Linked DNA regions of Saccharomyces cerevisiae S288C. The gene in region 1 interacts genetically with each later gene. Each region holds a gene or a part of one and is shown in the gene's direction. Other genes may lie near its edges. The genes, in order: PPA2, ALD2, POB3 and JEN1.

Region 1 (7,888 bases):
TTCTCGGTTTAGTCTTCGAGATCTCAATAGCAGCCTGCAGAAACCCCGGCTCATTCCACCAGCCTCCATTCGGTAGCGTGCTCGATGTCAACAAATTTAGTAGCTCACGTGTATACAATTGCTCTGTAGGACCCGGCGTTGCAAATAATGTATTGTCGAAGTCGTATATGTGCAATTTCGTAATCGCATGCTCAGGAACCTCAAAGGGCACGGCCAACTCGCAAGCGCAACTATTCCATTTTCTGAGCACACGGTGATTGCCACATCTGCTGGACATCTCCCCTTTCCTTCGAAATTCTTCAAATTCTTCCATTATACTCGTTTGGGTTATGCAGACAAACAGCACATATGATAATTCATTTTTTTTCTTCCATTATACGCTATAGTAATGTAAGACCTGATCTACGGGTTCGTTTCTTCTATTTCCGTTACCCGCCGTGCACCACAGCATCGCTGCGGTTCCGTCTGCGTGAGTCGTTCTGCGCGAATCACTTCCCGCAGCTGACATCACAGGGGCGGCCTTTCCTGGCTACGATTTTTTAGCGGGAAAGGCACACCCTTTCTTCTCCTTTCGGGTATAAAGTTTCTTCTGTGTGGATTCTGTGGGCCAGCTTCGGTTTTGAAGTTGGAAAAAAATTCTTCATCTTTGTTTTTTTATCGTGGAAAAGGAAGAAAATACTTGATAACCAACAGCAAAGCCGCATGGCTTGGCACTCGATCTTGATGTTGTCCCGTGCCTGGTTGTATAATATTATTATTAATGGCCATTTCGTAATCAAATTTCGGTTTGTTGTTTTTTTCTATTTCTTTTTCATCTTATATATATTAATTCGTTTGCCTTTTCCGTTTCTTTTTGTTTTAGTAATCATAAGTTTACGGCTTAGCAGCAAGGGCAAAGGGACAAAATGAATAGTACTAATAGTACTAATAGTACTACAACAGCTACCAGTACAAACACGTCAACTCAACAAGTCGTTACTTCTTTGGTAAGTAATGGTACTATTTTTGGTGTTTTTGTCATAGCGTTCTTGATTTTGCGTATAAAACTAAAAAGGATTTATGAGCCCAAATCCTCATTCAATCTGATTAATGAAGAAAAAAAGCCAGAACCGCTACCGCAGGGCGTCTGGCAATGGCTGAAGCCGTTATTGAAAAAATCAGACAATTTTGTCATTCAACAAGCCGGTCTGGATGGATATTTCTTTTTGAGGTACCTTTTCATCATTGCAATTTACTGTGCTGTTTCCATGAGTTATATATTCCCTATTTTGTTGTCCATTAACGCCAGTAACGGTAACCATGAAAGCGGATTGAATCAATTGGCCTATCAGAACGTCAAGCACCGTGGTAGATATTTTGCACATGTTTTCTGTGGATGGATTTTCTTTTGGGGGTTCCTTTACATTATTTACAGAGAATTGTATTTTTACACCTCTATGAAGCAAGCTGTACTAGCGTCCCCTCGTTATGCTAAAAAACTATCCTCGAGAACCGTGTTATTCCAGACTGTCCCTAAGCAATACTTAAGTGAAGAAGAGTTTTCTAAGTTGTTTGATGGTGTGAAAAGAGTCTGGATCGCAAGAGGTTCCGGTTCAATTGAAGCAATGGTCAAAGCAAGGGACAATATGGCCATACAATTGGAAGGTGCTGAAACAAAATACCTGAAAGCAGCATTGAAAAAAATTAAGAAGTTAAACAAAAAAAGTCCGCAATTATCTGTCTCTGATAATATTGCTGAATATGTCCCTGACAAGAAAAGACCACATCATAAAATTAACAAGGTTGCTAAATTCTTTTTTGGTAAAAAAGTTGACACCATATCCTACATTAAGGAGGAGTTGCCCAAGTTAAACCAAAAGGTGAAGGCATTACAAGAAGATCATGAAAATTCATCCCCTTTCAACTCCGTTTTTGTGGAGTTTGAATCCCAATATCAGGCCCAAGTTGCCGCTCAGATCACCACATACCATGCTCCTCTTTTCATGACGCCTGTGTATATTGGTATTGAGCCATCCGATGTCGTTTGGTTTAATTTGAGGATGTTCTGGTGGGAAAGATTAGGTAGGGAAGTCAGTGCGGTTTCAGCAATTGTCGCGCTAGTAATATTATGGGCTTTCCCAGTGGCTTTTGTTGGTATGATCTCTAATATTACTTCCTTGACTAATGAAGTTAAATGGTTAAAGTTCATCTATAAATTACCAAAACAACTATTAGGTTTACTGACATCTCTGGCCCCAACTGTGGCATTGGCCGTTTTAATGAGTTTCTTGCCGAAATTTATTAGGGGTATGGCTATCACTCAAGGTGCTCCATCTAAGCAAAATGTGGAATATTTCACTCAACAAGCTTATTTCGCCTTTCAAGTTATCCAAGTCTTTTTAGTTACCACTCTATCCTCCGCCGCCACTTCCACAGTAACGGAAATTGTTAAAGAGCCCACGAAGGCTATGGATCTACTGGCTTCTAATCTGCCAAAAGCTTCTAATTTTTTCATGTCATACGTTATTCTACAAGGTCTGTCCATTTCATCAGGTGCTCTTTTGCAAATTGTTCCACTAATACTCTTTTATGTTTTAGGTGCCTTTTTAGATGGTACCGTTAGGAAGAAATGGAATCGTTTTTGTGGGCTATCCAGTATGCAGTGGGGGACAGCTTTTCCAGTTTATACAAACTTGGCAGTTATTACTTTCTCCTACTCCATCATTTCTCCGTTGATTTTATTATTTGCTGCCGTCGCGTTTTTCCTATTGTATATTGCATATTTATACAATTTGACTTATGTCTATCAGGAATCACCCGACGCAAGGGGTATTTATTATCCAAGAGCTCTTTTCCAAACTATAGTTGGTATCTACATCGGTCAGATATGTCTATTAGGTCTTTTTGCCGTTGGTAAAGGTTGGGGCCCAATCGTTTTACAGGTAATTGGAATTTGTGTTACCGTCCTTATTCATTTACATTTGAGCGCTGCATTTGATCATTTATCAAAGGTTATACCCGTTGATACCATGAAACCGTTAGATGGTGTATCAGATACACCTTCTTTCAAAAATATTTATAAAGGCATAGAAAGTACAAAGGTGAAGAAAAATACTTTTGGTGCAAATATTGACATGGACGGAATCAAAGAATTACCTGAATTTCCAATAAAGAAATATCACAAGAGGAGTGAATCAGTCACTGAGCAACAAGTTGAAAATAGCATATTTAGTGAAAATACATTCGAATATCAATTCAACCCAGCAAATGAAGCCAATGCAGATGGGCACGCTATAAATGCAGAAAATTTAATTGAGGACGTGCCATTATTAGCAGATGGTGATACAATGAAAATTCCTCCGGCTCCATGGTGGAAGAGATTCTTAAAACCTCACATTTACTACTCCTATAAGGCTGTAAAGAGCAGACTGCCAGAAATATATGGTTTGGTTGATCCTGATGAAAGAGTCAATGATTTCGATATCTCTCATGCTTACGATTATCCAGCTGTTAGTGCACAATGCCCCGAATTGTGGATTCCTCGCGATCCTTTTGGATTTTCCAAATTGTTGATTTCAGACGTTTCTGGCGTTGTTGAAATGAACGATGAAAATGCTACCATCGATGAGAATTTGAAATTTACTCTGCGTGACGTACCACCACCATATAATGATGTTAAAGACGAAGCAAATGGTGAAGCAAATGGCGAATTTGACACAGCTAGTAAGGAAAATAATCCATTTGCGGACCCAAAGTATAAGGAAGAAGAGAGTCGTTCGGCAGTCTAAAGGTTAAACATTATCAGAAATTATCTATTCCTATTTGTTTAGCTGTTATCCTCTGATGGTTGAATTGTAATTTTACTAAGAAAAGGAGAGGAAAAGGACGTGCATATATTCTTTTAATACATTTAAAATATGATTCTAATCATTTCTTATATAATAGTGTATAGTCTAATCATTCATCGTGTATAGTAACCCTTTTTGTTTTTTTTTATGCAAAGTTTTTTTGTTTTTGGCAATCTATGAGGTTTGAATATTGGATAAAAGGAACTCCGCACAGTAATACGGAGCAGTCAGCTAATTTAACCAGCACTAATAGGGAGTACATTCAATTGGAAACTTTGATTCGCTTGTATGCGTGAAAAGCAAATTCCCTTCTAGAGAAGTTACTGAAAAACATGAATTTATTACGAATGAATGCTTTAACAAGCAAGGCTAGGTCAATAGAACGGTTAAAACAAACATTGAATATTTTATCCATTCGTAATCATAGACAATTCAGCACCATTCAACAAGGCAGCAAATATACCCTCGGGTTTAAGAAATACTTGACATTATTAAATGGAGAGGTTGGTTCTTTTTTCCATGATGTCCCTTTAGATTTGAATGAACATGAAAAGACCGTAAATATGATTGTTGAAGTACCAAGATGGACAACTGGAAAATTTGAAATATCCAAAGAACTTAGGTTCAATCCGATCGTTCAAGATACGAAGAATGGCAAGCTTAGGTTCGTGAACAATATCTTTCCCTATCACGGCTATATACACAACTATGGTGCTATTCCCCAAACATGGGAAGATCCCACAATTGAACATAAACTGGGGAAGTGTGACGTGGCTTTGAAAGGTGACAATGATCCTCTTGATTGTTGCGAAATCGGTTCGGATGTTTTGGAAATGGGTTCCATTAAAAAGGTCAAGGTATTAGGATCACTCGCTTTAATTGATGATGGAGAATTGGATTGGAAGGTCATAGTGATCGACGTAAATGATCCTTTATCCTCTAAAATAGATGACTTGGAAAAAATTGAGGAGTACTTTCCTGGGATTCTAGATACGACTAGGGAGTGGTTTAGAAAGTATAAAGTTCCAGCAGGGAAGCCATTAAATAGTTTCGCCTTTCATGAACAGTATCAAAATTCCAATAAAACCATCCAAACTATAAAGAAATGTCACAATTCGTGGAAAAACCTCATTTCAGGATCACTCCAGGAGAAGTATGACAACCTGCCTAATACAGAAAGGGCTGGTAATGGTGTCACACTTGAAGATAGTGTTAAACCCCCTTCTCAAATACCGCCTGAGGTGCAAAAATGGTATTACGTTTAATATGAAAATAATACCTTCGAAGAAAATGTTTAGATAAAGGTTCCTTGTATATAATTACGTAATCTCTGCTCTCTCGAATGTTGGCTGCTTGATGTATGTGAACGTTTGGAAAGAAACTTGGGTTTATATTCACTGCTAAAATGACATCCTATTAGAAGTTCGTCTTTCTCCGGTTCGGTTAGTCTACTCACCTAGAAACATCTTGCGAAAATCGTCGTTGGACATCTGCTCTTGTTTGTCAGGAATTTTTTTCTTTACTTGAAGATTTGGTCCTTTTTCCATCATGTTTATACAACTAGGTTTGACGTGTTTCATGCTGTGATTCTGTTGATTGTTATAATATCTTTTCATGTCATTAATAGTACCTGAACGTATCACCTTTCCCTGAAATTGAGATCCATTTAGTATCATTAGCATTTTTGCTGCAAACTTACTATCTCTAAATATAATAATGGCGCCATTGAAGTCGCTAACGAGAAGTATTTTCCTAATATCTTTTTCATTGATGTGTATTTCTTCCTGAAGAAATTGGCAGATTAAGCTTGGTGACACCTTATCTGAAAGTGGAAATAAGCATATTAGTGTTTCTAGTTCTTTGCTGTTACGCGATGCGAGAAGTCTTTTGACTTCGTTTCTTTCTAAGAATGGTTTTTTATCAGCCAAGGAAACGGAAATTTCCCTATTACCTAACAAACTTCTATTCATTTGAAGTGCCCTTTCAGCAGAATCTTTATTTTCAAAAACCATAAATGCACAACAGTTATTGAAACTGTGCTCTTTCTGTCCAGCAGGTATGTTGATTTTTTCAATGGAACCAAATCCCTCAAAAGATTCCCTCAGAAGGTTTTCGTCGAGCAATTCTGTACTTAGGTTTCGTATCATAATCTCTCGCCCCTCTAGTGTGGCAGAATCGGTCCGTTTCGACTTTTCCAGCGGATTGGAAACTTTAGTAACTAAAGTATAACCTTCTATTTTGAGTCCATTCAATTTTTCTACACAATATCTTGCATCCTCTTTAGAAGTAACATCGATGTAAGCGAACCTTCTGCTTGTATTGAATCGTAAACTGGGAAGCCGTATACTGAGTGCAACAACGTTAATATCTTGCAATAGATCTCTAATATTTCTTTGAGTATAACTTGGGGGGAAATTCGTCATCCATAATGTGCATTCTGTTAAATGAGATACTATAATTTCATTCTGACCTACAACTTTGTGTGTTTTGGTTATTGCAGCGAGGGCTCCATCATACCTGGCAAATTCAATACGTGCAAAACGAAAGTTCTTCTTCAGCGAATCCGCAACATCAACGTGTATAATGGGCCCACAATGTTTGAAGTACTTATAGACTTTGTTTTGATTATAGCTCTTAGGCAAATTTTTGACTAATACAGTTGTTAATTCTCTATTTCTTGTTAAAGCTTCGTTCGCCTTCTTAGAAGTTAATCCTGCGGCTGCTGGTGATCCTTCATCCAATGGTCGTTTTGAATCTGGTCTAGCGTGATGTCCATACTCCATTATCACAGATTATGAAGTGAATATGTGGGCTTGTTTATCGCTAATGATTCTCATATAATAAATATAAAGGGTTTTCAATGTTGTAGTAAATCTGCCATTTTGAATAAGTTCCCGCCTGAAAATTTTTTAGCGATGACTTTAAAAAAGACATTGATGCACTCTACAATTCATTGTCATGATGTACATAGAAAATTGAATGATACAAGCGGAAATATTATCAGAATAAATCGGACATGGATAGCAAAGAATATCTGATATCATATGGTTGGAAAGAAGGAGAAGCGTTTAGAGAAGGTGGTTTGAAAAGACCCATACTGGTAAAGCACAAGAGAGATAAGAAGGGATTGGGTAATGCTCCTGGCGGGAATGATGGCGAAGCATGGTGGGAAAGGCTATTTGATGGACATCTGAAGAACCTGGATGTAAGCACTGATTCGAATAATGGCAGTATTAAATTTACTCAAAATGAGGCAGTTGCTACTGCTGTATCGAAAAGTAGCTCACCTCTATACAGGTGGTTTGTAAAGGGAGAAGGGCTGAAAGGAACCATTACTAATCTTGGTAAAAAGGAGGAAGCCAGCTTTGTTGTATCTAGTGCAAGTTCGAGTAAAGGGAAGAAGAGAAGAAGGCGTGATGAAGATGATAACAAGGTCAAGAGAAAAAAATTGAAAAAAGATAAAAAGACTAGTAACGACAGTGAGAGTAAGAAGAAGAAGAAGAAGAAAAGCAAGAAGGAGAGTAAAAAAGGAAAGAAAAGTAAGCATAGCAGCGATGAAGGTGATAAATCGAAGCATAAAAAATCCAAAAAGTCAAAAAAACATAAAAAGGAAGAAAGTTCAGCAAGAAGAGATAGAAAGGAGCATATATGATTATCATAGTCTAATATGTAAATATGTATCCGTAAAAGACATTCTTAAAAGTTTGAATTTATGATCTTTTTATTTTTGTATTTAGTCTTTGTTTTCGAACTTTTATTAATATTAAATTTCAGTAAGTAAATTAAAAGAACATCTTTAAAAGAGTATATTTATTGTTACATATGTTGATCTTAAAAGGAGATGAATATTTCTTAATGGAAAAAGGTAAAAAAAAGATTTTCTCATTCATATGTTCCCATTAGGCAGTTCTATGAGGCAGTCGTCCAACTCGTAATCAGAGATCTCATTCTCATCCTCTAAGTAGCCCTTTACCTGAAAAAATGTTCTTTTGTTTAGAGCATCTTCCGTCTCTTCACGATTTAAGCGTTGTAGCTTGGATTTGTCCTTTGATGTCAACCGT
Region 2 (8,129 bases), 200 kb from region 1:
CAGCAGTGCTGTCTTCTTCATTATCCCTTCCATCACCTTCGTCATCACCGTCATCATCATCATCCTCTTGATAGCCATCATCGTCGACATTACTTTTCACTGTCATTGGTTTTGGGTACGACGGTAGAGTAGAAGCTCTGTTTCTATTTACAATATTCGTGTTCACCCCTGACTTACCACTCGGTAACAATTCAGATGTCGTGCTATCCTGATTGATCAATTGGGAAAATGATAGAGGCTGCTGGGTATTATTTATAATAGGGGGTATAACATTTTGATTTGGGGGAAAAGAAGCGTTATCTAGGGCTAAGCTGGGCAAACTTAAAGCTGTTGTCGTGCCAAAGTTATTCAATGAATTTAAGTCATGAAATGAATTTGAAGCACTGGTGACGCCTGAATGAATGGAAGAATTGGTATAATTCATGCTAGTTGTAGAATTATGAGAATTCGTTAATGGAGATAGGGCTGATATGGGCTTTTGTGCAGCACTAGCATGGTCATTTGTGCTCGCATTGTTGTTACTTTGCGTATTTCTTCTGCGCCGTTTAATCCCATTTGGGTTCAACTTGAATGGCTTGTCAGTTGAAGCGTTCGGGAAACTAATAGGCGAGCGATTTACCTGCTGATGTGTATTTGTGTTATGAATTAAAACCTGCGACTGGTTCTGATTGGCTTGTGTGTTTATAACAGGACCAAGTTGTCGGTTAGGGAGCGATTGGTTTATATTTTGGGAAACATTATTTCGATTATGCTGCTGATCAGGTAAGATAGTATTTAGTGCGTTAGAAAATTGGTTGTTTAGCTGTGCAGTATTCGTATTCACATCTATGGTTCCATTCGTAGTCCGATGCTGGTTGATACCAGAATGGGTGTTGGAATCTCCTGTACATAAATCAGCAGTATGCTGTCTACCAGAGCCATTATTCTGCATTTTCTGCAAGTAAGCACTACTAACGGCTGATATCGAATTTAGCAATTCGATAGCAAGCTTATTTTGGGCATTGTTTGTGCTTGGGCGCGCGCTTGGCTGCGCAACCAACTTAAGTAATATATTCAATTTGTTCATAACTTTATAGTTATCTTGTTTTAGGTTTAAAACCATTGTATTCTGTTCCGCGATCTTATTAGATAACTTGTTGAAGCTTTCCTCCATCTCAATCATTCGGGCACTCATTTCGTCCATTCTTTGAAAAATCTTCAACTGATCCGTCGATATTTCGTTCGACGGTGAATCATTAGTCAAGGATTGGCTTAACATACGCCCTGTACCCGCCGTTGTCGAGTTCGAAGCGGAAACATTCGAGTTCACCCGCTCTTCATTACTCAGTTTTTCACCAATAGTTTCTGTTGGTTGACTGGTACCTGTGGGTGCTGAAATCGCTGCTGAAGTCCTCAAAAGACCTCCATCTAGTGCATTTCCATCGTTGCGAAGTGTACTGGCGTTACTGCCACTGGCGCTCTCTGAACCAGTCGTAGGCGAAATGTGAGTGGGCAGTGAGAGGTCAAGATTGATACCTATAGCATCTTCATTTACTTGACTATTCATCCTGTACCCATCCTTTAATGTAGTGGGCATCATTAAGAATAAGAAGAAAGGGCTCATCAGTGTAGAATAATCGAAGCTGATGGTTATCCTATAAATCTTTGTACGTACGATGCAAAGAATCGCAATACCCATTCCAGACATTATGCTCCAGCCATATGTACCCTAAATATAATCTTTTTTGTATATAAAAAACCTAAAAAAGAGATAACTAAACCTAGCTCAATATTTAATTTGACCTAACCCTCCGTCGGCCCTTTTTTTTTATTTTTTTCTTCGGAACGGTGCGCTATAAAGAAAAAAGGCAAATTCCAGGTTATCCATATAAACGCCATAACAAAATTTCATTGATACAGGCTTTAAGAACCTTGCTCTATTTACTACTGCTCTTTCTTCCTCTCTCAGGTTGAGCTATTTTTGAGAATAGCGCTTTACTGCTGCATGGAGGAGTGATTTTTTATAGAACATTGAAAAACCAAAGGACTGGTGCCTAACTACAAAATTTTCAAGAGTTGTTTCAAGTTATCTATATTGTCATTGGTTAATAATTATAAAAAATCTTAAAGTTTGGAGAGCCAAATTTTTTTTCTATATAAAAAAGCAAATGTCATTCAAGTTTCTGATAGAATCGCTGCTTCTCGGTTCGATAAGCGGACAAATACGGTGTGGTAGATCTTCGGTGATCCCCCGTGGCGATGTATCTTATGGGGGAGACGATACTGACGAACTTAACATGGATATAATGTTGTTTGCGTTTGGAACCTTAATCGTGGTCTACATCGTCATCTGTATCGTTTATTTTTTTACAAAACAGATAGCTACGCGGCTTATAACTGCATATTATAATGAGCATGGCCCTGGCCAAAGAATATCTTTATTCAGCGATTATGACGAAAATAATGCACACGTTCATAGCAGAAGATTAATGGAAAACATGAGTTTAAGGTGGCCCAACAATCTTGACGATGCTGATGAAGTAAGAGATAAGCTGGCACAGTTGTCACCTGAAGAGCAGTTTTATTATAAGCAAGGTGAGGAGTATATCAAGCAGAACCCACCATTTCTGCTTAACCAGGGACTTTTACAACAGTCCGAAGATAGCAATCCAGACACCACCCGTGAAGACCCTATTATGAACGAGCAAACAAGGCAATATATTCAAGAAGAGGGGGCTTATGCATGGGAGTTTAGCCCAAATCCTGATATGCCAAACCATACTGTCATAGTGGAAAATAAAACAGAGGTTTCTTTTCTAAATTATAATTATGATGCTTCTATATCCACAAATCTACCCATTCCGTGTATAAATAAAGTATATTATTGTGAATTCAAGATATTTGAAACGGATGGCCCACTAAACAGTGATGAAAATGTATCGAAAGGTGTCATCTCATTTGGTCTTTCCACACAGCCTTATCCATATTTCAGGTTACCGGGAAGACACCACCATTCGATAGCATACGATTCTAACGGCGCCAGAAGATTTAATGACTCCTTCAAACTAAATGAGCAATTAAGAACGTTATTTCCACAGTGTGAAAAGGGAGACATTGTTGGCATTGGCTATAGGTCACGTAGTGGAACAGTATTTTTCACCAGGAACGGAAAAAAACTAAATGAAAAATCTGTTGGTGGTCATATCCGCGGCTGGAAATTCCAATACCTATACCCGATCATTGGCTCCAACGTACCTTGTCAAATTCATGTGAATTTCGGCACTTATGGCTTTGTTTATATAGAAGCAAACGTTAAAAAATGGGGATACGCAAAGTCAAACGGCATTAAATTACCTCCTCCTTCTTACGAAGACTACGGTAAAGATACCCTATTAGAAAGCGGTGGTGAAGACAATGATTTCGACGAAGATTTTTCAGACGGTGATAGCGACAATATTGCGGCTGGTAGTACTACAAATCTCAATGATGATATAATTATAAGAAACGGTGAAATATTACCGCCACCACCTGGATTTGAATTCACTATGTCCCCTCCCACTGGAAAGAAGATCATCAATGAGGAAATTAATCTAGATTCCTTACCTATGCTACCACCAAGTTACTCGGACGATGAACATCATTCGAAAAATGATAAATCAGCAATAAGCGGACGAATTATTGGAACGAGCAGAAATTTAATTACTGATGAAGCATCTTTCGATAGTGTTGATAATGATAACGAAGATGAAAATGATCACGAGAGAGATCCCGAACAATTTTCAGAATTTGATGATTACGAAAGCAGGATGCATGGCATATAATACGAAAATGCATGAGATAGTAAGGCTGAAACACTAGCCCCGGTCAGTTATCTTTTTTTGCGCTGTATTACGCAGAGCCACCATTTTTTAAAAACATTGCAATTTATAACGTTTTCTTCCTTATTGAGGGTTTCAACGCTATCACCTACTCGATATCGCAGTGCAGCATATAGATATTTACATACATATATACATATGTTTACGTACACTAGTAAGGGCAACTGGTTGACCCGCAAACTTCCTTCTTACTTTCCGTACTTTTGCCATCTTTACTTGCACCTCCGTGCTACCTCTTAATGTGTCACAAGAAGAACGTATGAAGTATTTGTCAGCGCTTCAGACATCAGCATGGGTTGCAAATGCGTGAGATTAAAATGAAGCGTTCCAGCTCGAAAGAAAATTTGCTTATCTTTCCCTTCTATCATTTTTTTTTTCTCGTTTTTTATTTTGCATTGCCTTATCTTTTGCCGCCAGAAGAAACAAGGTTGCCATTATCGTGCCATGCGTTTACTTGCTAACGCCCTATGATGTTCCCGGCGGCTTTTGGATACTAATAATAGCAATCATATACCCTTTATTGGTTACTCCTATCCAATGATGAGTTTTTTTAACTCGTTTAAACATTAGGGATGCAATCTTGTCGACACTCACTGATCATATCCCGAATTTTGCTCAAGAATGTTCATATAAAGGGAGCGAATCCTTAAAAATACTTTTGGCCCATTCCTATCATTTTTACATTGCATGTCCATCAAAAACAATCGTGAAAATAAGCCAAAAGAAAAATGCCTACCTTGTATACTGATATCGAAATCCCACAATTGAAAATCTCTTTAAAGCAACCGCTAGGGTTGTTTATCAACAATGAGTTTTGTCCATCATCAGATGGAAAGACCATCGAAACTGTGAACCCAGCTACTGGCGAACCGATAACATCCTTCCAAGCAGCTAACGAAAAGGATGTAGACAAAGCTGTGAAAGCTGCCAGGGCTGCTTTTGATAACGTTTGGTCGAAGACATCTTCTGAGCAACGTGGTATTTATCTTTCAAACTTATTAAAACTTATTGAGGAGGAGCAAGACACACTTGCCGCATTAGAGACTTTAGACGCTGGAAAGCCTTACCATTCAAATGCCAAAGGTGATTTGGCACAAATTTTACAGCTTACCAGATATTTTGCTGGGTCCGCTGATAAGTTTGACAAAGGTGCAACCATACCATTGACTTTTAACAAGTTTGCATATACTCTAAAAGTTCCTTTTGGCGTTGTTGCTCAAATCGTTCCATGGAATTATCCTCTAGCTATGGCTTGTTGGAAATTGCAAGGTGCCTTAGCAGCCGGTAACACGGTTATCATCAAACCTGCTGAGAATACCTCTCTATCTCTACTTTATTTTGCTACTTTAATTAAAAAAGCAGGTTTTCCACCTGGTGTTGTCAATATCGTTCCTGGTTATGGATCACTTGTAGGCCAAGCCCTAGCATCTCACATGGATATCGACAAAATATCTTTTACGGGAAGCACCAAGGTCGGTGGATTTGTGTTGGAAGCTTCCGGCCAATCGAACCTTAAAGACGTTACACTAGAATGCGGTGGTAAGTCTCCTGCTCTCGTATTTGAAGATGCAGACCTTGATAAGGCTATCGATTGGATAGCAGCTGGCATTTTCTACAATTCAGGACAGAATTGTACCGCAAACTCAAGAGTTTATGTTCAAAGTTCGATCTACGACAAGTTTGTTGAAAAGTTTAAAGAAACTGCAAAGAAGGAGTGGGATGTTGCAGGAAAATTTGATCCGTTTGATGAGAAATGCATCGTTGGTCCAGTTATATCAAGTACACAGTATGACCGCATCAAAAGTTACATAGAACGTGGTAAAAGGGAGGAAAAGTTGGACATGTTCCAGACCTCTGAATTTCCTATTGGTGGAGCTAAAGGCTACTTCATTCCCCCAACCATCTTCACTGATGTCCCGCAAACATCGAAACTGTTACAGGATGAGATATTTGGCCCGGTTGTGGTTGTTAGCAAGTTCACAAATTATGATGACGCTCTGAAGCTGGCTAATGATACTTGCTACGGGCTCGCCTCTGCGGTCTTCACAAAAGATGTCAAGAAAGCGCACATGTTTGCTCGCGATATTAAAGCAGGAACTGTTTGGATCAACTCATCTAACGATGAAGATGTTACCGTTCCTTTTGGCGGGTTTAAAATGAGTGGTATTGGTAGAGAACTGGGGCAAAGTGGTGTTGATACCTATCTTCAAACAAAAGCAGTTCACATAAATCTCTCTTTGGACAACTAATGTGATAGTTATCATTATGTAAGTGCGTAAGTACCTAAATAGCTTAGCCTGACGACGGATGAATATGTTGACAGTCTAGCAAACAGTAGTAGTCCACTACTCGATATAAAACTGTAAGCACCATTATTTCAGCATGCGGAACAATTGTTGTTACTAGGTCCTAGAAATCCCTTAAGATGGTAAAAAAATAGAGCTATAAACTCAGTGAGATTTATTTTTGTGTCAAGAAATTATACTTGCGTGTTAGTTTTCTCTATTCCCACCATTACGTAGATCTTCCGTCTTTTTTTTTTCTTTTTCTGCATATGACGTCTGTTCTTCCTTCCCCCCCTGGAGTACAAGGAAAGTATCACTATTAGAACTCTACAGTACCTTTCTTCCACGCCCTTTAGTGCATTTAGGGATTTTCATTACTGCTAATCCAAGACTTGAACCGGATTGTTGATCAGCCCCCTTCTTAAGCTGATTGCTAAACTCCCTAAGGGTTAAGGAATTAGTAAGTTTAGGGAGGAGACAGGGAGATTGTTCAAACGAATAGCGTAGATTTAACTGATCATACCTCAGAAACTAATTGTATAAAATGGCAAATCTGGATGGGAATAAATTTGACTCATGCCAGGTAATTATACCTTGGACTTGTATCATAGAGATATAGATTATACACATTTAGAAAATTAGCCAAAAGAAAAATGCCTACCTTGTATACTGATATCGAAATCCCACAATTGAAAATCTCTTTAAAGCAACCGCTAGGGTTGTTTATCAACAATGAGTTTTGTCCATCATCAGATGGAAAGACCATCGAAACTGTGAACCCAGCTACTGGCGAACCGATAACATCCTTCCAAGCAGCTAACGAAAAGGATGTAGACAAAGCTGTGAAAGCTGCCAGGGCTGCTTTTGATAACGTTTGGTCGAAGACATCTTCTGAGCAACGTGGTATTTATCTTTCAAACTTATTAAAACTTATTGAGGAGGAGCAAGACACACTTGCCGCATTAGAGACTTTAGACGCTGGTAAGCCTTTCCATTCCAATGCTAAACAAGACTTAGCCCAGATTATAGAACTTACAAGATACTATGCGGGGGCGGTCGACAAGTTCAATATGGGTGAAACCATTCCATTGACTTTTAACAAGTTTGCATATACTCTAAAAGTTCCTTTTGGCGTTGTTGCTCAAATCGTTCCATGGAATTATCCTCTAGCTATGGCTTGTAGAAAAATGCAAGGTGCCTTAGCGGCCGGTAACACGGTTATCATCAAACCTGCTGAAAATACCTCTCTATCTCTACTTTATTTTGCTACTTTAATTAAAAAAGCAGGTTTTCCACCTGGTGTTGTCAATGTCATTCCTGGTTATGGTTCCGTTGTGGGGAAAGCTTTAGGAACCCACATGGATATCGACAAAATATCTTTTACGGGAAGTACTAAGGTTGGCGGCTCAGTATTGGAAGCTTCCGGCCAATCGAACCTTAAGGATATCACACTAGAATGCGGTGGTAAGTCTCCTGCTCTTGTATTTGAAGATGCAGACCTTGATAAGGCTATAGAATGGGTAGCAAATGGTATTTTTTTTAATTCGGGACAGATCTGCACTGCAAACTCAAGAGTTTATGTTCAAAGTTCGATCTACGACAAGTTTGTTGAAAAGTTTAAAGAAACTGCAAAGAAGGAGTGGGATGTTGCAGGAAAATTTGATCCGTTTGATGAGAAATGCATCGTTGGTCCAGTTATATCAAGTACACAGTATGACCGCATCAAAAGTTACATAGAACGTGGTAAAAAGGAGGAAAAGTTGGACATGTTCCAGACCTCTGAATTTCCTATTGGTGGAGCTAAAGGCTACTTCATTCCCCCAACCATCTTCACTGATGTACCAGAAACATCTAAGTTGCTGCGTGATGAAATATTTGGCCCGGTTGTGGTTGTTAGCAAGTTCACAAATTATGATGACGCTCTGAAGCTGGCTAATGATACTTGCTACGGGCTCGCCTCTGCGGTCTTCACCAAAGATGTCAAGAA
Region 3 (8,466 bases), 670 kb from region 1:
AAATTTCTTGAATTGTTGGGTAAACAAATATTACTAATACAAATGTTATTAGAAACCAAAAATGCACTTTTCCGGGGTTAATATATATGATTGAGTGATGGATGAAGAATGAGATAATTGTTTAAATTCTATAGTTGTCAAGCGCTGTGATACCAGATACACAAAATGTACTAGAGGTTCTCCTCGAGAATATGAAAATCCACAATAGAGAACCGATATTTCTGTGTAGGAATATTATTATTTCTTCTTTCATTTTGTATGTTCTCGTTCATTTTCCTAGCACATTATCAACCCTTTCATTTCAATTTCCATTAAAATTGGTGACTGTTTCTCAATATTTATTTGACCGTCTTATACCCAATATGGTAATATACCAGTAATATAAATACTAGTCGTTAGATGATAGTTGCTTCTTATTCCGAAAATGAGTATGGAAGTGTTGCATATGATAGGGCGGCTACAGTGATGGTAAACATAAGATACTTTAGCGGGAAATTAGCAACTGGAAGTTAAATTATCTAGACATAAGTGTGGCGGTCACGCTGAACGCAGGAGATCGGATAGATTGATAAGCTGATCAAGAACATTGATCGGTTTGTTGTTTAAAGAATGGTTTTTGAAAACGTTTGACCAGTTGCTTCTCCCAGACGCTTACCGATATGATGATAAAGATAATATCTTCAATTGAATACCCCGTGGATCAGCACGAATAACAGAAAAAAAGGGTGAAATTCACCGTAAGCATGATACGCACTACGTTCTTCTTACCTTTGCCAACGTGTTGTCTTTGACGTACGTAATTATGGGAGATCGTTGATGATTAGCCCCAGCTCACTTTCTTCTTAATGACTGACCCGCTACTATCAAAATTAAGGTGTCAAATATCATGATGAATGAGGTCTCTAGGCGACTCAATTATACATCTTTTAGAGATTTTTTTACTACTTGCAGATAATTTCTCAAGGGATTAGATTCAAATCTGGCTTGTCAATTACGCCCTTTTCAAGCTCATCAAATTGCGTATGTCATTCATGCTTCCATTAGGAACCATAGAAGCATGGCTGAAATGGCAATATACGGCTTCCCAATTTCAACTCTAAAGTAATGGCGGTCGAATTTAATCTATATTTTACAGTTTTATACGTACTTTAAAAGCAATCAGTAAACACCTCTGGTGCTATTCAAGGGTTTTTTGCCTTTATTTGTTACTGTCAATTGTCTGGCGCTGTGATAAAAAACAAGGCATAAAGCTCCCCCGTCATGAACATTAAGACTCGCTAGACGAGAGAGTGAAATATAATGCATTTCCTGATTTAAATGCGCTACAAACATGGTGTAAATCTGGCCCGGAGTGAGTGCTTGCCAATTTGGCTTCTAAGGGAGAAAGATCAAACCACTCCCAATTGCGTCATTTTGAAAGAGTGGCCACCTCGCGAGCGTCTGTCGAACTAACTGATGAATAAATATATAAGGAGAAAATCACTTCAACTTCGCTACAAGTAGTCACTATTTGTAGCAACTGTAAACGAACACATCAAAGAATAAGATTACATTCTATATCTAAGACTAAATTTTAAATGTCCGCTAAATCGTTTGAAGTCACAGATCCAGTCAATTCAAGTCTCAAAGGGTTTGCCCTTGCTAACCCCTCCATTACGCTGGTCCCTGAAGAAAAAATTCTCTTCAGAAAGACCGATTCCGACAAGATCGCATTAATTTCTGGTGGTGGTAGTGGACATGAACCTACACACGCCGGTTTCATTGGTAAGGGTATGTTGAGTGGCGCCGTGGTTGGCGAAATTTTTGCATCCCCTTCAACAAAACAGATTTTAAATGCAATCCGTTTAGTCAATGAAAATGCGTCTGGCGTTTTATTGATTGTGAAGAACTACACAGGTGATGTTTTGCATTTTGGTCTGTCCGCTGAGAGAGCAAGAGCCTTGGGTATTAACTGCCGCGTTGCTGTCATAGGTGATGATGTTGCAGTTGGCAGAGAAAAGGGTGGTATGGTTGGTAGAAGAGCATTGGCAGGTACCGTTTTGGTTCATAAGATTGTAGGTGCCTTCGCAGAAGAATATTCTAGTAAGTATGGCTTAGACGGTACAGCTAAAGTGGCTAAAATTATCAACGACAATTTGGTGACCATTGGATCTTCTTTAGACCATTGTAAAGTTCCTGGCAGGAAATTCGAAAGTGAATTAAACGAAAAACAAATGGAATTGGGTATGGGTATTCATAACGAACCTGGTGTGAAAGTTTTAGACCCTATTCCTTCTACCGAAGACTTGATCTCCAAGTATATGCTACCAAAACTATTGGATCCAAACGATAAGGATAGAGCTTTTGTAAAGTTTGATGAAGATGATGAAGTTGTCTTGTTAGTTAACAATCTCGGCGGTGTTTCTAATTTTGTTATTAGTTCTATCACTTCCAAAACTACGGATTTCTTAAAGGAAAATTACAACATAACCCCGGTTCAAACAATTGCTGGCACATTGATGACCTCCTTCAATGGTAATGGGTTCAGTATCACATTACTAAACGCCACTAAGGCTACAAAGGCTTTGCAATCTGATTTTGAGGAGATCAAATCAGTACTAGACTTGTTGAACGCATTTACGAACGCACCGGGCTGGCCAATTGCAGATTTTGAAAAGACTTCTGCCCCATCTGTTAACGATGACTTGTTACATAATGAAGTAACAGCAAAGGCCGTCGGTACCTATGACTTTGACAAGTTTGCTGAGTGGATGAAGAGTGGTGCTGAACAAGTTATCAAGAGCGAACCGCACATTACGGAACTAGACAATCAAGTTGGTGATGGTGATTGTGGTTACACTTTAGTGGCAGGAGTTAAAGGCATCACCGAAAACCTTGACAAGCTGTCGAAGGACTCATTATCTCAGGCGGTTGCCCAAATTTCAGATTTCATTGAAGGCTCAATGGGAGGTACTTCTGGTGGTTTATATTCTATTCTTTTGTCGGGTTTTTCACACGGATTAATTCAGGTTTGTAAATCAAAGGATGAACCCGTCACTAAGGAAATTGTGGCTAAGTCACTCGGAATTGCATTGGATACTTTATACAAATATACAAAGGCAAGGAAGGGATCATCCACCATGATTGATGCTTTAGAACCATTCGTTAAAGAATTTACTGCATCTAAGGATTTCAATAAGGCGGTAAAAGCTGCAGAGGAAGGTGCTAAATCCACTGCTACATTCGAGGCCAAATTTGGCAGAGCTTCGTATGTCGGCGATTCATCTCAAGTAGAAGATCCTGGTGCAGTAGGCCTATGTGAGTTTTTGAAGGGGGTTCAAAGCGCCTTGTAAGTACTTGGCTCACGAATACATATCAAGATACTTATGATATATATATATAGAAAAAGCTTACTTTTCTTGGAGTTATTGTTATTATCATCGCGAAGAACGATTGTATAACCCGGTTCAACGCGAAACGAATCGTTAAACTGGTGAAATGTTAACGCGAGTGTCAGAGATATACATAGTATGAGAGTAGCTAGATGTTGAATCGGTGGTAAGAACAAGAAGGAAATACCGTTAACAAGTGAAGGAACAATCTAGTATTGTTGAACAAGAATTATGAGTACCGACTTTGATAGAATTTACTTGAACCAATCTAAATTTAGCGGTAGATTCCGTATTGCTGATTCTGGGTTAGGGTGGAAAATTAGTACCAGTGGTGGCTCTGCAGCAAATCAGGCAAGAAAACCATTTTTATTACCAGCCACAGAATTATCTACCGTCCAATGGAGTAGGGGCTGCAGGGGTTACGACTTGAAGATAAATACCAAAAATCAAGGTGTTATCCAACTAGATGGATTTTCTCAGGATGACTATAACTTAATCAAGAATGATTTCCATCGCCGTTTTAATATTCAGGTAGAGCAAAGAGAACATTCCTTACGTGGTTGGAACTGGGGTAAGACAGACCTTGCCAGGAATGAAATGGTTTTTGCTTTAAATGGTAAACCAACTTTTGAAATTCCTTATGCTAGAATAAATAATACAAATTTGACCTCTAAAAATGAAGTAGGAATAGAATTTAATATTCAAGATGAAGAGTACCAACCAGCCGGTGACGAATTGGTAGAGATGAGGTTCTATATTCCTGGTGTTATTCAAACAAACGTCGATGAAAACATGACCAAAAAGGAAGAGTCAAGCAACGAGGTCGTACCAAAGAAAGAAGATGGTGCTGAAGGAGAAGATGTACAAATGGCAGTAGAGGAAAAGAGTATGGCAGAAGCATTCTATGAAGAACTAAAGGAAAAGGCAGACATCGGGGAAGTCGCTGGTGATGCAATAGTTTCCTTCCAAGACGTCTTTTTTACCACGCCAAGAGGTCGTTATGATATCGATATTTACAAGAACTCCATTAGACTCAGGGGTAAGACCTATGAATACAAATTGCAACATCGTCAAATACAAAGAATTGTTTCGTTACCAAAGGCAGATGATATCCATCACTTATTGGTTTTGGCAATTGAACCTCCTTTACGTCAAGGACAGACCACCTACCCCTTTCTTGTCTTACAATTTCAGAAAGATGAGGAAACAGAAGTGCAATTGAATCTAGAAGATGAAGATTATGAGGAAAATTATAAGGATAAATTGAAAAAACAATATGATGCTAAAACTCATATAGTTTTAAGTCATGTATTAAAAGGTCTGACTGACCGTAGAGTCATTGTTCCTGGAGAATATAAATCCAAATATGATCAGTGTGCAGTTTCATGTTCTTTCAAAGCAAACGAAGGTTATTTGTATCCATTAGATAACGCTTTCTTCTTTTTAACTAAGCCAACTTTGTACATACCATTCAGTGATGTTAGCATGGTAAACATTTCAAGAGCAGGACAAACTTCTACGTCATCGAGGACGTTTGATTTGGAAGTGGTACTGCGTTCAAATAGAGGTTCTACCACTTTTGCCAACATCAGTAAGGAAGAGCAGCAATTATTGGAACAATTCCTAAAGTCTAAAAACCTAAGGGTGAAGAATGAAGATAGAGAGGTACAAGAAAGGTTACAAACCGCTTTAGGTTCAGACAGTGACGAAGAGGATATTAATATGGGTTCCGCTGGTGAAGATGATGAATCAGTAGATGAGGATTTTCAGGTCAGCTCTGATAATGACGCAGACGAAGTTGCAGAAGAGTTTGATTCAGATGCGGCTTTAAGTGATGCTGAGGGGGGTAGCGACGAAGAAAGGCCTTCGAAGAAGCCTAAGGTAGAATAGTAATAATTTTAGACTGTATAAGTTAAATTTATTGATATTGTGTAAAAACTAACTAATATATTTTGCCAATTGATATTATCATGACATGGTGAGTGTAAGACACCACCTCTTAATTACTGGTGTTATTCTATACATTTATTTGAAATTGGTTTTGTTTTGCAAAATATTTATGTTTTGTTAATCTCCTCTACCCTTTCAATGCTTGAAAAATACTTTCAACTTTTCGATTGGGTGATGAAAAAAAGACAAATAGTGTAAAGGGTTCAAAAATAAATAACAAGCAAGAGAAAGGGACTTTGCTTTTCTCATTTAGTCACCAGTAAGTTATGTCATGGTGTAGAATAACGAATTACAGAAAACTAATATAACTGATGAAAGACCAGGGAGTAAAATGGCTTTGACTCAGTTTGAAAATGATTTGGAAATATTAAGAGATATGTACCCAGAACTGGAAATGAAATCGGTAAAAGTAGAGGAGGAAGGTGAATTCCCTCAAAGAATTAACGGAAAGTTACTGTTCAAGATATCACTATTGGCCGATGTAAATATTGAGTTCGGCGAGCAACATATGTTACTTTCAAACTTATCTAATGAATGCGTGGAGTTCACCATATATAGCTGTCATTATCCGGACATTCGACGGTGTGTTGTTATGGATATCAAATCCTTATGGATATCAACAGATGAAAAGAAGATGTTAATTGACAAAGCGCTGAGACTCGTTGAAGAAACTGTAGATATGAGTATTGAGTTCGCGGATTCGTTTACCTCCATCCTTATCCTCATCTTTGGGTTTCTTATAGATGATACAGCTATATTACTATTCCCTAATGGAATAAGAAAGTGCCTGACACAGGATCAGTATGACTTGTTTAAGCAGATAAGTGAGGAAGCCACCCTCCAAAAAGTGAGCAGATCTAACTACCATTGTTGTATTTGTATGGAAATGGAAAAGGGTGTTAGAATGATCAAATTGCCATGTGAAAATGCGAATGTAGAACACTATCTTTGCAGAGGATGCGCCAAATCTTATTTCACTGCAATGATTCAGGAAAACCGAATATCCAGTGTAAGATGTCCACAATGCGAATACAAAGAATTAAAACTAGAAGATTTCAAGAGCTATAAAAAAATGCTGAAGGCATTGTTTACACCTTTGATTCCAGTGTCCTTCTTAAAAGAGGTTATCGATACAGAGCTATGTGAAAGATACGAAAAAATGTTCTACAACCAGGCGGCTACAAGACTCTCAAAATATTGTCCGTATGCTTGTGTGACTTGTCGAAGATGTGATAGTTGGTGCACAAAAGAAGACCTCGATGATGCGATGATTCAGTGTCAAAAATGTCATTTTGTATTTTGCTTTGACTGCTTGCATGCCTGGCATGGTTACAACAATAAATGTGGCAAGAAAGTTTCGTTATCGACCGATATTATTGAGGAATATCTAGATGATACCGTTACTTCATATGAGAGAAAGCGGAAACTGGAGGCAAAATATGGGAGAAGAGTATTAGAACTTGAAGTCAATGATTACCTTGCTGAAAAAATGTTAGATTTAGCGATTAAAAAAGAGGGTTCGAATTTGCAGCGATGTCCAAAGTGTAAGGTAGTTGTAGAAAGAAGTGAAGGTTGCAATAAAATGAAATGCGAAGTATGCGGGACGCTGTTCTGTTTTATATGCGGAGTATTACTTTATCCTGAGGACCCTTATGAACATTTTAGAGAAGCATATTCAGGCTGTTATGGACGATTGTTTGAAGGTATGCCTGGCACAGAAACTTGAGTGCGATCGCTCTGCCTTCAGTCTCACACTTTTTCTTATAATCTATTGTCATGAAATTTATACAGATGAAAATGAAACGTTATCTTGGGTATACTGCATTCTCTTTTCTTTTACATATCTACCTATCTAAAATACCCTTAGTTTTATCATCTGGCTGATAACGCAAGGACCACTTAGGTCCCATGATGGTGATAAGAGCCATATCCAGTAGTGTGAAAATCCACGAAGCACAGTAGACCAAAAATGAGCAGATTGCCACTAATCTGACCAAAAACTGTATAAAGCTTAAACGAACATCAGAAACTACTATGGATAATGGTTCGAAATTGTATTTGAAGAAGATGCCCGGCATTTTATCACCTTTAGCAGCGACATCTTTGTACAAATAGCGGTAATCGTTAACAGAATATTGATTAGTATCCACTTCTGCCCCCAATTTCTTGAAAAGAGTGGGCACAACAGATGTGTAATAGACGTAAGTAGTTAAAGGTTCATCCTGATTAAACTGTGCAGTGTTATCCAATGGGTTATCAATATATGGATAGAAATCACCAAAAGAGAACTCATTAATAACATGATTAAATTTTAATTCTTCCAGTGGTGCTTTGCGTGAAGCCACGTAACCTAAACTCTTCGCTGTAATCTGCAATTCGCCACTAACTCTATTTACCGGAATGGACCCAAATACATGGCACCCATTGAATTCCGGAAGATGTGCCTTGTTAGGATCACTTTCATCAAAAAATGACCTAGTATCTAGTTTTTCTCTAAATTCTGCTGGGATAGCTTCCCCTAAGATTTCATCCAATTCCGGCGTAATAATTTCATTGATATCATTGACTTTTGTGTCATAAGGAATAAAGAATGGCATCTCTTCCAATTGCAATTCCTCTAATACAAGTTTCCGATCCATTGTTTGGTCTCTGACGTTGATTTGCAACCAATCACATTTCGTGTTGACGTATATATCCATATTAATTTGAACGGTATCTCTAACTTGACTGTCCACTACGTACTGCTGGTCAATATAACCACCGAAGTATTCACCAAACTCGGTCCATGCTATAAACAACAGAAACAGATATGTCAACAAAGATGTTAAGCCACCCTTGGTGGATTTCTTCTTGTACTGTTCTTCAGTTTTTGCTGTAAAGTTAAATTTCCATTGTTAGTGAAAAAGCAAAAGCAAAAATAAAATATGCTGAAGCGGGCTACTTCAGAAAAATCCATATAACATACGAAACGCATCAAATGTCTTCAATCCTGCCATTATATACTCCTGAAGTCTCTGCCTGTACGTTACAGCAAAAGCATTTTGGAGGAACGCTTTTCTCAGTAAGAATAGAACATTGATAATATCTTTTCAAAGCCTTGACCGAGCGGGAAAAAAGGACGTTATGCAAAAATACTTAATATACT
Region 4 (8,814 bases), on another chromosome or scaffold:
TAAAACAACCTGCTTAGAATGACTGTTAATTTACAGAATTTACGATAAAAATATAACTTGGCTCTAGGGCGTGATGATAGTGACAAAAAACTCGTCAAGTAAATGTTGGGAGCTTACTTGCCGTCGTTTTCTAACGCCAAAATACACGAATCATGTTTGGGAAATATAAGTGATTAGAACTTGTCCAAGGATATTGTCAAACAATAACATACTACAATAATCCTAGATCGTGTATTATTTGCGTATGGATAAATATACCTCAAGCTTTATGAGGCATAGAAAATTCATTAGAGTCACTACTTACGTCGCACTCTCGAGGATTGGAATGACGAAATCTTCTTCAGCATTTCACCATTCACCTTTTGAAGCTTCCTATCTCGTTGCTTAAGTAGAATGAAAGCATAGCAGCCCAAAAGAAAAGCCTCCCTCAGCAAGAATATTAACAAAGAACAATTCATGGACCGTTTCTACTACTTAATATCTCTATCACAACTGTCAGTCTCAATCAGTACTTAAATGACGCTGCAGAAAAAGATATCATTATTTTTATCATCCCCCTAATAAAATAAGTAATGAATCAATGCCATTAATTCGGGAACTAGTCATATACCTAAGGAATCAGGCTTTGATAGCTCTTTAATAATAATATTAGGGCATTTTTGATATGGTAAAAGATTAGATTAGGAAACCCCTTTTGTAGAGCATCTCACTACAATATCTGCAAAAACGGTCACCTTGCATAGGCAGAACACGCTACCTTTGAGTTAATTCACAGGGGAGAGCCCTTTTTTTTTCTTAGCAAAAGTGCTTAACAATCTTAATTTCTGGAATGTTTTCGGCGGATTGTTGTATATTGTTTGAATTTGTTCGTTCTAAAAAGTGAGACACCTGCACTTTCCACGCCAAGAACACTAATACCTTTAAACATGCCAGCGTACTTTAAAATGCCACGAGTCGCCCCGTACCAAACATGCTGGCGATTGTAATTTTTCGCCTTTTATTGGAATCGAGAATTCGGGCACTGTCCTTTTCTTCGTCATTTCAATGTTATAATCATTTTTATCGCCAAATTTTCTTCAATAAAAGGTCTCTTTTAAAATATGTTACTATGTTTTTTATTTTTCTATTATTTTTCTATGTGATTTTTCAGACGATTTATTCTTTGTTCGAAGGAGAACAGATGCAACGGTCAAGTTTTTACTATCCACATGAGGAGCCGTAATATTCTAAAGGCAAAAGCATGTGTGCTTGTAAAAAAAAATCAAAAAAAGTTACTGCTCCAAGCCAGCAAGCTTTCTCTTTTGCGAAATCTTTAACACGGTTAAAATCAAAGACAATTACTTCATTGACAAGGTCAATGCTAATATTTACGGTCTCCGCACGAAAGACTCTGAAAAATGTTAAAATTTATAGTGGCTAATGCTAATTCAAGAATAGTCTCGGGTTGTTTGATCACATTATTTTAATTTTTATTGAGCACTGAATAGGACCCGTATGTTCCAATCAGTCTATTTCTTGCAACTTAATCTGGTTTGTTTTTAGGGGAGTGGCATTTTTTTTAGGGTTATTCAAATATTCAATTCTGTAATTTGCTTACGACAAAAAGAAAAGGAGAGATGAAAAAAGGGCGACGGGTATAATCTATTCAGCCGCCAATGTCCCGACGTATGCCAAAATGTGGTGCCGCGGTAACAGTAGCATCACACAGAGCATGAGAAAAGCAAGAAAAGTGGAAGTCTGTATGTCACATTTTTATTGAAAATGCTATTTGCTATAAGGTTCGCTATTCAACTGATTGAACCGAGATAGACAAAATGTTAAACTTTTCATAGAGACGTTATTGTGATAGGGTTTACGCTGAGAATGGTTGAAACATACTTGCTAATAAACCACGTCACGTCAAAATATCAGTTTTTCTTTTTTAGTTATTCCCTTCTCACTTTTGACTTGAGATGAGATCGTTACACTTTTATTGAATACGAACGGATCACGATACATCCACATATACGAATGTTCGGCCAGACAGGGCATCAGAGTATATACCCTTTTTCCTAAAATGGAAGGGCCCTAGATCGTTGGCATCAGCGGTTACCTAACCGAAGTGGATCAAATCAGCGCCTATTTTTCCGTTTAGAACGATTAGATGCCGTCAATATGTATGTGCTTACTGTATCATCCACGTAGTAAAGCTGGGGCGTAGCATCCCTAGGTTACTTTCTCAATACTGGGGTCCCTGACCAAAGATAAAACATAACCTATTATGGCGTACGAGTCAAAGTTAAACGCTATTTGACTCGGGCAGCATGCATGACCCGGGGGAATGGAAAACTTCTCATGGCTACCCCAACGAAGCCAGACAAGATCTAGGAGATGTCTCCACCTTCCGAGCTACACTCTCACATCTCTTACATAGACACTGTGAAGTAAGTGATTGCACACAATCCAAAGAAGCACATCAAATAATATGTAAATATTACCCGTACAAATGGCAAATCATGTCCACTTTCCCGTTAGTCATCGGGTGGGCCGGTCCTCGCACTTTCCTTTTGTTTCGGATGTTAATTAATATATAAATGGATCTATAATTTTCAAAAGGTATAAACGCACAGTATGAAAAATATTGCAAGAATAATGTGTTTATAAATTATTTTTTTTGCTGGTAGCAAAATCAACTCATTGTCTTCCATTCAGAGTCTAATCGAACGTTATCGCAATGCTTGCACACTTTTAAACAATACGATTTAGTTTAAGTGGATGGACCCCCACGCTTAGTGTTCCACAGGTTTGTCCCCACTGTTTTTACATTCCACTGTACATTTTTGCAATAGAAGGTCATTGTATGCTACCTTGGGCGGCTAAGAATACCTGTAAAAATTTGGAGAAATTAGATTCGTAAAGAATGACTCGCAACGACTCCAATGATTTCTTCTTTTCACCCTTTGAACGGCCGATATCCGCGCGGGATCCTGACCCCGCAATTTACTCCACTAGACCGGCGTGTTTCTCTTTTTCCTTTTCCTGGGGTTAGAGCCCAAGAGCTAATAGCCGACAAACGGACTCCAAAAAAAAAAGGAGGCACAGGACAAACGCAGCACCTGCGTCATTCACGCTGAAGCGGCAGCAAGCATTTTCGATCAGCTCCAATTAAATGAAGACTATTCGCCGTACCGTTCCCAGATGGGTGCGAAAGTCAGTGATCGAGGAAGTTATTGAGCGCGCGGCTTGAAACTATTTCTCCATCTCAGAGCCGCCAAGCCTACCATTATTCTCCACCAGGAAGTTAGTTTGTAAGCTTCTGCACACCATCCGGACGTCCATAATTCTTCACTTAACGGTCTTTTGCCCCCCCTTCTACTATAATGCATTAGAACGTTACCTGGTCATTTGGATGGAGATCTAAGTAACACTTACTATCTCCTATGGTACTATCCTTTACCAAAAAAAAAAAAAAAAAAAAAAAAAAAAAAATCAGCAAAGTGAAGTACCCTCTTGATGTATAAATACATTGCACATCATTGTTGAGAAATAGTTTTGGAAGTTGTCTAGTCCTTCTCCCTTAGATCTAAAAGGAAGAAGAGTAACAGTTTCAAAAGTTTTTCCTCAAAGAGATTAAATACTGCTACTGAAAATATGTCGTCGTCAATTACAGATGAGAAAATATCTGGTGAACAGCAACAACCTGCTGGCAGAAAACTATACTATAACACAAGTACATTTGCAGAGCCTCCTCTAGTGGACGGAGAAGGTAACCCTATAAATTATGAGCCGGAAGTTTACAACCCGGATCACGAAAAGCTATACCATAACCCATCACTGCCTGCACAATCAATTCAGGATACAAGAGATGATGAATTGCTGGAAAGAGTTTATAGCCAGGATCAAGGTGTAGAGTATGAGGAAGATGAAGAGGATAAGCCAAACCTAAGCGCTGCGTCCATTAAAAGTTATGCTTTAACGAGATTTACGTCCTTACTGCACATCCACGAGTTTTCTTGGGAGAATGTCAATCCCATACCCGAACTGCGCAAAATGACATGGCAGAATTGGAACTATTTTTTTATGGGTTATTTTGCGTGGTTGTCTGCGGCTTGGGCCTTCTTTTGCGTTTCAGTATCAGTCGCTCCATTGGCTGAACTATATGACAGACCAACCAAGGACATCACCTGGGGGTTGGGATTGGTGTTATTTGTTCGTTCAGCAGGTGCTGTCATATTTGGTTTATGGACAGATAAGTCTTCCAGAAAGTGGCCGTACATTACATGTTTGTTCTTATTTGTCATTGCACAACTCTGTACTCCATGGTGTGACACATACGAGAAATTTCTGGGCGTAAGGTGGATAACCGGTATTGCTATGGGAGGAATTTACGGATGTGCTTCTGCAACAGCGATTGAAGATGCACCTGTGAAAGCACGTTCGTTCCTATCAGGTCTATTTTTTTCTGCTTACGCTATGGGGTTCATATTTGCTATCATTTTTTACAGAGCCTTTGGCTACTTTAGGGATGATGGCTGGAAAATATTGTTTTGGTTTAGTATTTTTCTACCAATTCTACTAATTTTCTGGAGATTGTTATGGCCTGAAACGAAATACTTCACCAAGGTTTTGAAAGCCCGTAAATTAATATTGAGTGACGCAGTGAAAGCTAATGGTGGCGAGCCTCTACCAAAAGCCAACTTTAAACAAAAGATGGTATCCATGAAGAGAACAGTTCAAAAGTACTGGTTGTTGTTCGCATATTTGGTTGTTTTATTGGTGGGTCCAAATTACTTGACTCATGCTTCTCAAGACTTGTTGCCAACCATGCTGCGTGCCCAATTAGGCCTATCCAAGGATGCTGTCACTGTCATTGTAGTGGTTACCAACATCGGTGCTATTTGTGGGGGTATGATATTTGGACAGTTCATGGAAGTTACTGGAAGAAGATTAGGCCTATTGATTGCATGCACAATGGGTGGTTGCTTCACCTACCCTGCATTTATGTTGAGAAGCGAAAAGGCTATATTAGGTGCCGGTTTCATGTTATATTTTTGTGTCTTTGGTGTCTGGGGTATCCTGCCCATTCACCTTGCAGAGTTGGCCCCTGCTGATGCAAGGGCTTTGGTTGCCGGTTTATCTTACCAGCTAGGTAATCTAGCTTCTGCAGCGGCTTCCACGATTGAGACACAGTTAGCTGATAGATACCCATTAGAAAGAGATGCCTCTGGTGCTGTGATTAAAGAAGATTATGCCAAAGTTATGGCTATCTTGACTGGTTCTGTTTTCATCTTCACATTTGCTTGTGTTTTTGTTGGCCATGAGAAATTCCATCGTGATTTGTCCTCTCCTGTTATGAAGAAATATATAAACCAAGTGGAAGAATACGAAGCCGATGGTCTTTCGATTAGTGACATTGTTGAACAAAAGACGGAATGTGCTTCAGTGAAGATGATTGATTCGAACGTCTCAAAGACATATGAGGAGCATATTGAGACCGTTTAATCACTTTTCATTGCTCTCTAGGGCGTGTTCGCTTCTCTATGTAACTGCATTTCACATATATTCATATTATAGCCTTTATAACATTACATAAAAGACATGATATACGACATACTTTAAAGTTAGAATTTTTGTTGTATTAATTTTCTCGAAGGGATTAGAATGTAAGTACATTTAAATAGCGCCGCAAGAAACATAACAGCCGTTAACACTAGCAAGATGGTAGATTACTGTGTCTAAGAATTTAAATTGTTTTGCTTGCTTTTGCCACTATAAGACAATAATAGTAATAGAAAAGAAATGTTAGTCGAACAGCAAATTGGTAAAAGTGGAAAAAATTATTTCGTTATTCATTTTAGGCCGTTCAGAAATATAGCATTTTGGTTCTTGCACTGAATGGGCCCTGAGGACAGTGTGCGGCTGGATAGCCATATACTTCGACATTACTTTTCACCTTTGAAGGGGGATGTATGCTTATACACAATCAAAGCTCGGCCTGTGCAGGTTTCACTACATAAGCTTTTTTACCATAGAAATCTTGCAGAAGGAAGTAAGTATCAAGATATTACGTATCGCATCCATAGAACGATAGCAGAAAAATGCAGTATATGATAACGATATGCTTCACAGCTGCGGCCCATTTGGGGAAAAAAGGAAAAGGAGCATCCTCGATCTTACAGATGTCGCTTTTTCCTCTTGAGGTCATTCCCTAACCTTGGATCCAAGTCAATCTGGTATCTTCCCACCCTAAATAGTGTATTCCCCATGTAATAAGATCGGACGATAAACTTCGAAACAATTCTAGCCTTTTTTATTAGATATTTACTCTACTTTAGATTTGGTGATTTTACTAAATGTTATCCTTCAGCCACTACAGCCTACTTTTTCTCACTAATATGTTCTTGAAGCCATTTTCTTCACCGGGCTTTGCCGAAGGTTATTTCACGATCTTCGGCATTCGCCGAAAATTTTTCAAGATGCCCATCACCAAAAAATAAAAAAAGCTTTATATATGGCATGGCATACGCATCGGGAACCGGTATTCTTCTCTTGGATTACACAGTTTGGACTACTAGACGTTTCAAATAGATATACACAATTACTCAAAAAAAAATTGAACTTCCGTACCAAACATGACAGCCAGTTTAACTACCAAGTTCTTGAACAATACCTATGAAAACCCATTTATGAATGCATCCGGTGTTCATTGCATGACTACACAAGAATTAGATGAATTAGCAAACTCTAAAGCTGGCGCATTCATTACAAAGAGTGCTACAACCTTAGAAAGAGAAGGTAACCCTGAACCACGTTACATTTCTGTCCCTCTAGGCAGTATCAACTCCATGGGTTTACCAAACGAAGGTATCGACTACTATTTGTCCTATGTATTAAACCGTCAAAAGAATTATCCTGATGCACCTGCTATTTTCTTCTCAGTTGCTGGTATGAGCATTGATGAAAATTTAAATTTGTTGAGGAAAATCCAAGATAGCGAATTCAACGGTATTACCGAGTTAAACTTGTCTTGTCCTAATGTGCCTGGGAAACCACAAGTTGCTTATGACTTTGACTTGACAAAGGAAACCTTGGAAAAGGTTTTTGCCTTTTTCAAAAAACCTCTTGGTGTCAAGTTGCCTCCTTATTTTGATTTTGCCCATTTTGATATCATGGCAAAAATATTGAACGAGTTCCCATTAGCTTATGTCAACTCTATCAATAGTATAGGAAATGGTCTTTTCATTGATGTGGAGAAGGAGAGTGTAGTAGTGAAGCCAAAGAATGGTTTCGGGGGTATTGGAGGTGAATATGTTAAGCCAACCGCGCTCGCCAATGTTCGTGCATTTTACACTCGTTTGAGACCTGAAATCAAAGTTATCGGTACAGGTGGAATTAAGTCCGGTAAGGATGCATTTGAACATCTTCTATGTGGTGCCTCTATGCTACAGATTGGTACAGAATTACAAAAAGAGGGCGTCAAGATTTTTGAACGTATCGAAAAAGAATTAAAAGACATAATGGAAGCTAAGGGTTATACATCCATAGATCAGTTCCGTGGGAAGTTGAACAGCATTTAATTATCGGAATTTGAAGAACTATGATGGGACAAGTTATGGAAGAGTGTTAAGATTCGTATGAATATTTTATTATTTTGAAATTGCATAAATCAAGGATAGTTGGTAAATGCTAATTCCTTAATTTTTCGGTGAGTGCATTCGCAATTGGCATCATACATTAGGGTTCAATGTGCTTTAATAGATGATGATACTAAATACTTATACTTTGAAATAACTTAATCAATGTAAATTATTGTCTTGATTCATTTATACTTAAATTTTTATATCTCAACATATGATATATCCTTACATTAAGACTTATTCAAGAAACATTTTTCAACGATAATTATTAGTAGGCTAAAAATGGCATAGGAACCAGAAAATAATGTTGAAGAAATGAAGCCATCTGTTTAATATTTGGGGAAAAAAGTGAAGAAATTAACGAATATGTGCATATATATATATATATATATATATATATATATTGCACAGGTGATTTTGATGTAGAATGTAGCCTTTTCGAAAGAGTAATTTGGTTTTATCTACAGAGTTCCGAAACATTGTTAAGTGCCTGTTCTTATATAATTAAACTGTACTTTCTGTAAAAGTCAATTTGTGGCTGGCGCATCCACGGTATACCAATGGTTCCGTGTAATTCGATATTGACTAAGAACCAAAAAGAAATGCTTTAATCCTTGTATTGTCCAAATCCCCCACCACCAGGGGTTTTAATGATGAATCGATCACCGGGTTGAGCGTAAATCGTATTTTTACCGCCGACATTGATTAATGCGCCTGTGCTATGTCTTACCCATAAATTCTCACCTCTACTACCGTCTTGTCCTCCCTTTATACCATGAGGGCCAATGACACGACGTTCTGATAATATAGATGCTGTTACAGCCTTCCGAAATTGAACATCCCTTACTACGCCATTTCCGCCAGTATATTTACCTTTGCCTCCTGAACCTCTTCTGATCGAGAACTCTTTCAACAGAACGGGGTATCTCCTTTCAAATACCTCAGTATCTGTCATTCTTGTATTGGTCATATTCGTGTGTACAGCGTCTGAGCCATTCCAACCACTTCCTCTCCATGAATCTGCACCAGCCCCCGAGCCGCCACATATGGTTTCATAATATCCAAAGCCTTTGATCTGCTTATCGGTTTTGTTACCAGAATTTCCTCCAGTTCCAAATGTAAAGTTGTTACAGTCACCTTGAGAATCTGCCATGACGTTAAATGTTTTTAAGATTACATCTGTCACTCTTTGGGAAGT

The links.
Region 2: mutations in PPA2 (region 1) and ALD2 together harm fitness more than expected from each alone (negative genetic interaction), as found in Saccharomyces cerevisiae (one large-scale study listed by BioGRID).
Region 3: mutations in PPA2 (region 1) and POB3 together harm fitness less than expected from each alone (positive genetic interaction), as found in Saccharomyces cerevisiae (one large-scale study listed by BioGRID).
Region 4: mutations in PPA2 (region 1) and JEN1 together harm fitness less than expected from each alone (positive genetic interaction), as found in Saccharomyces cerevisiae (one large-scale study listed by BioGRID).

The regions. Positions count from the first base shown.
Region 1 is NC_001145.3:797,613-805,500, forward strand, and holds PPA2 (inorganic diphosphatase PPA2), read left to right. Parts: upstream 1-4,159; coding exon 4,160-5,092; downstream 5,093-7,888. Other genes in the region: YMR265C (uncharacterized protein), read right to left, coding at 1-313; RSN1 (Rsn1p), read left to right, coding at 906-3,767; U6 snRNP complex subunit PRP24, read right to left, coding at 5,276-6,610; TMA23 (Tma23p), read left to right, coding at 6,844-7,479; RRN9 (Rrn9p), read right to left, coding at 7,714-7,888. UniProt on the Saccharomyces cerevisiae protein: Involved in energy production. Its activity is stimulated by uncouplers of ATP synthesis.
Region 2 is NC_001145.3:599,539-607,667, reverse strand, and holds ALD2 (aldehyde dehydrogenase (NAD(+)) ALD2), read left to right. Parts: upstream 1-4,585; coding exon 4,586-6,106; downstream 6,107-8,129. Other genes in the region: HOT1 (Hot1p), read right to left, coding at 1-1,687; EAR1 (Ear1p), read left to right, coding at 2,148-3,800; aldehyde dehydrogenase (NAD(+)) ALD3, read left to right, coding at 6,796-8,129. UniProt on the Saccharomyces cerevisiae protein: Cytoplasmic aldehyde dehydrogenase involved in ethanol oxidation. Required for pantothenic acid production through the conversion of 3-aminopropanal to beta-alanine, an intermediate in pantothenic acid (vitamin B5) and coenzyme A (CoA) biosynthesis.
Region 3 is NC_001145.3:131,898-140,363, forward strand, and holds POB3 (FACT complex subunit POB3), read left to right. Parts: upstream 1-3,602; coding exon 3,603-5,261; downstream 5,262-8,466. Other genes in the region: DAK1 (dihydroxyacetone kinase), read left to right, coding at 1,578-3,332; ITT1 (RBR-type E3 ubiquitin transferase), read left to right, coding at 5,653-7,047; ERV41 (Erv41p), read right to left, coding at 7,166-8,193, 8,287-8,317. UniProt on the Saccharomyces cerevisiae protein: Component of the FACT complex, a general chromatin factor that acts to reorganize nucleosomes. The FACT complex is involved in multiple processes that require DNA as a template such as mRNA elongation, DNA replication and DNA repair.
Region 4 is NC_001143.9:18,604-27,417, forward strand, and holds JEN1 (monocarboxylate/H+ symporter), read left to right. Parts: upstream 1-3,630; coding exon 3,631-5,481; downstream 5,482-8,814. Other genes in the region: URA1 (dihydroorotate dehydrogenase), read left to right, coding at 6,612-7,556; OXP1 (5-oxoprolinase), read right to left, coding at 8,224-8,814. UniProt on the Saccharomyces cerevisiae protein: Essential to lactate transport.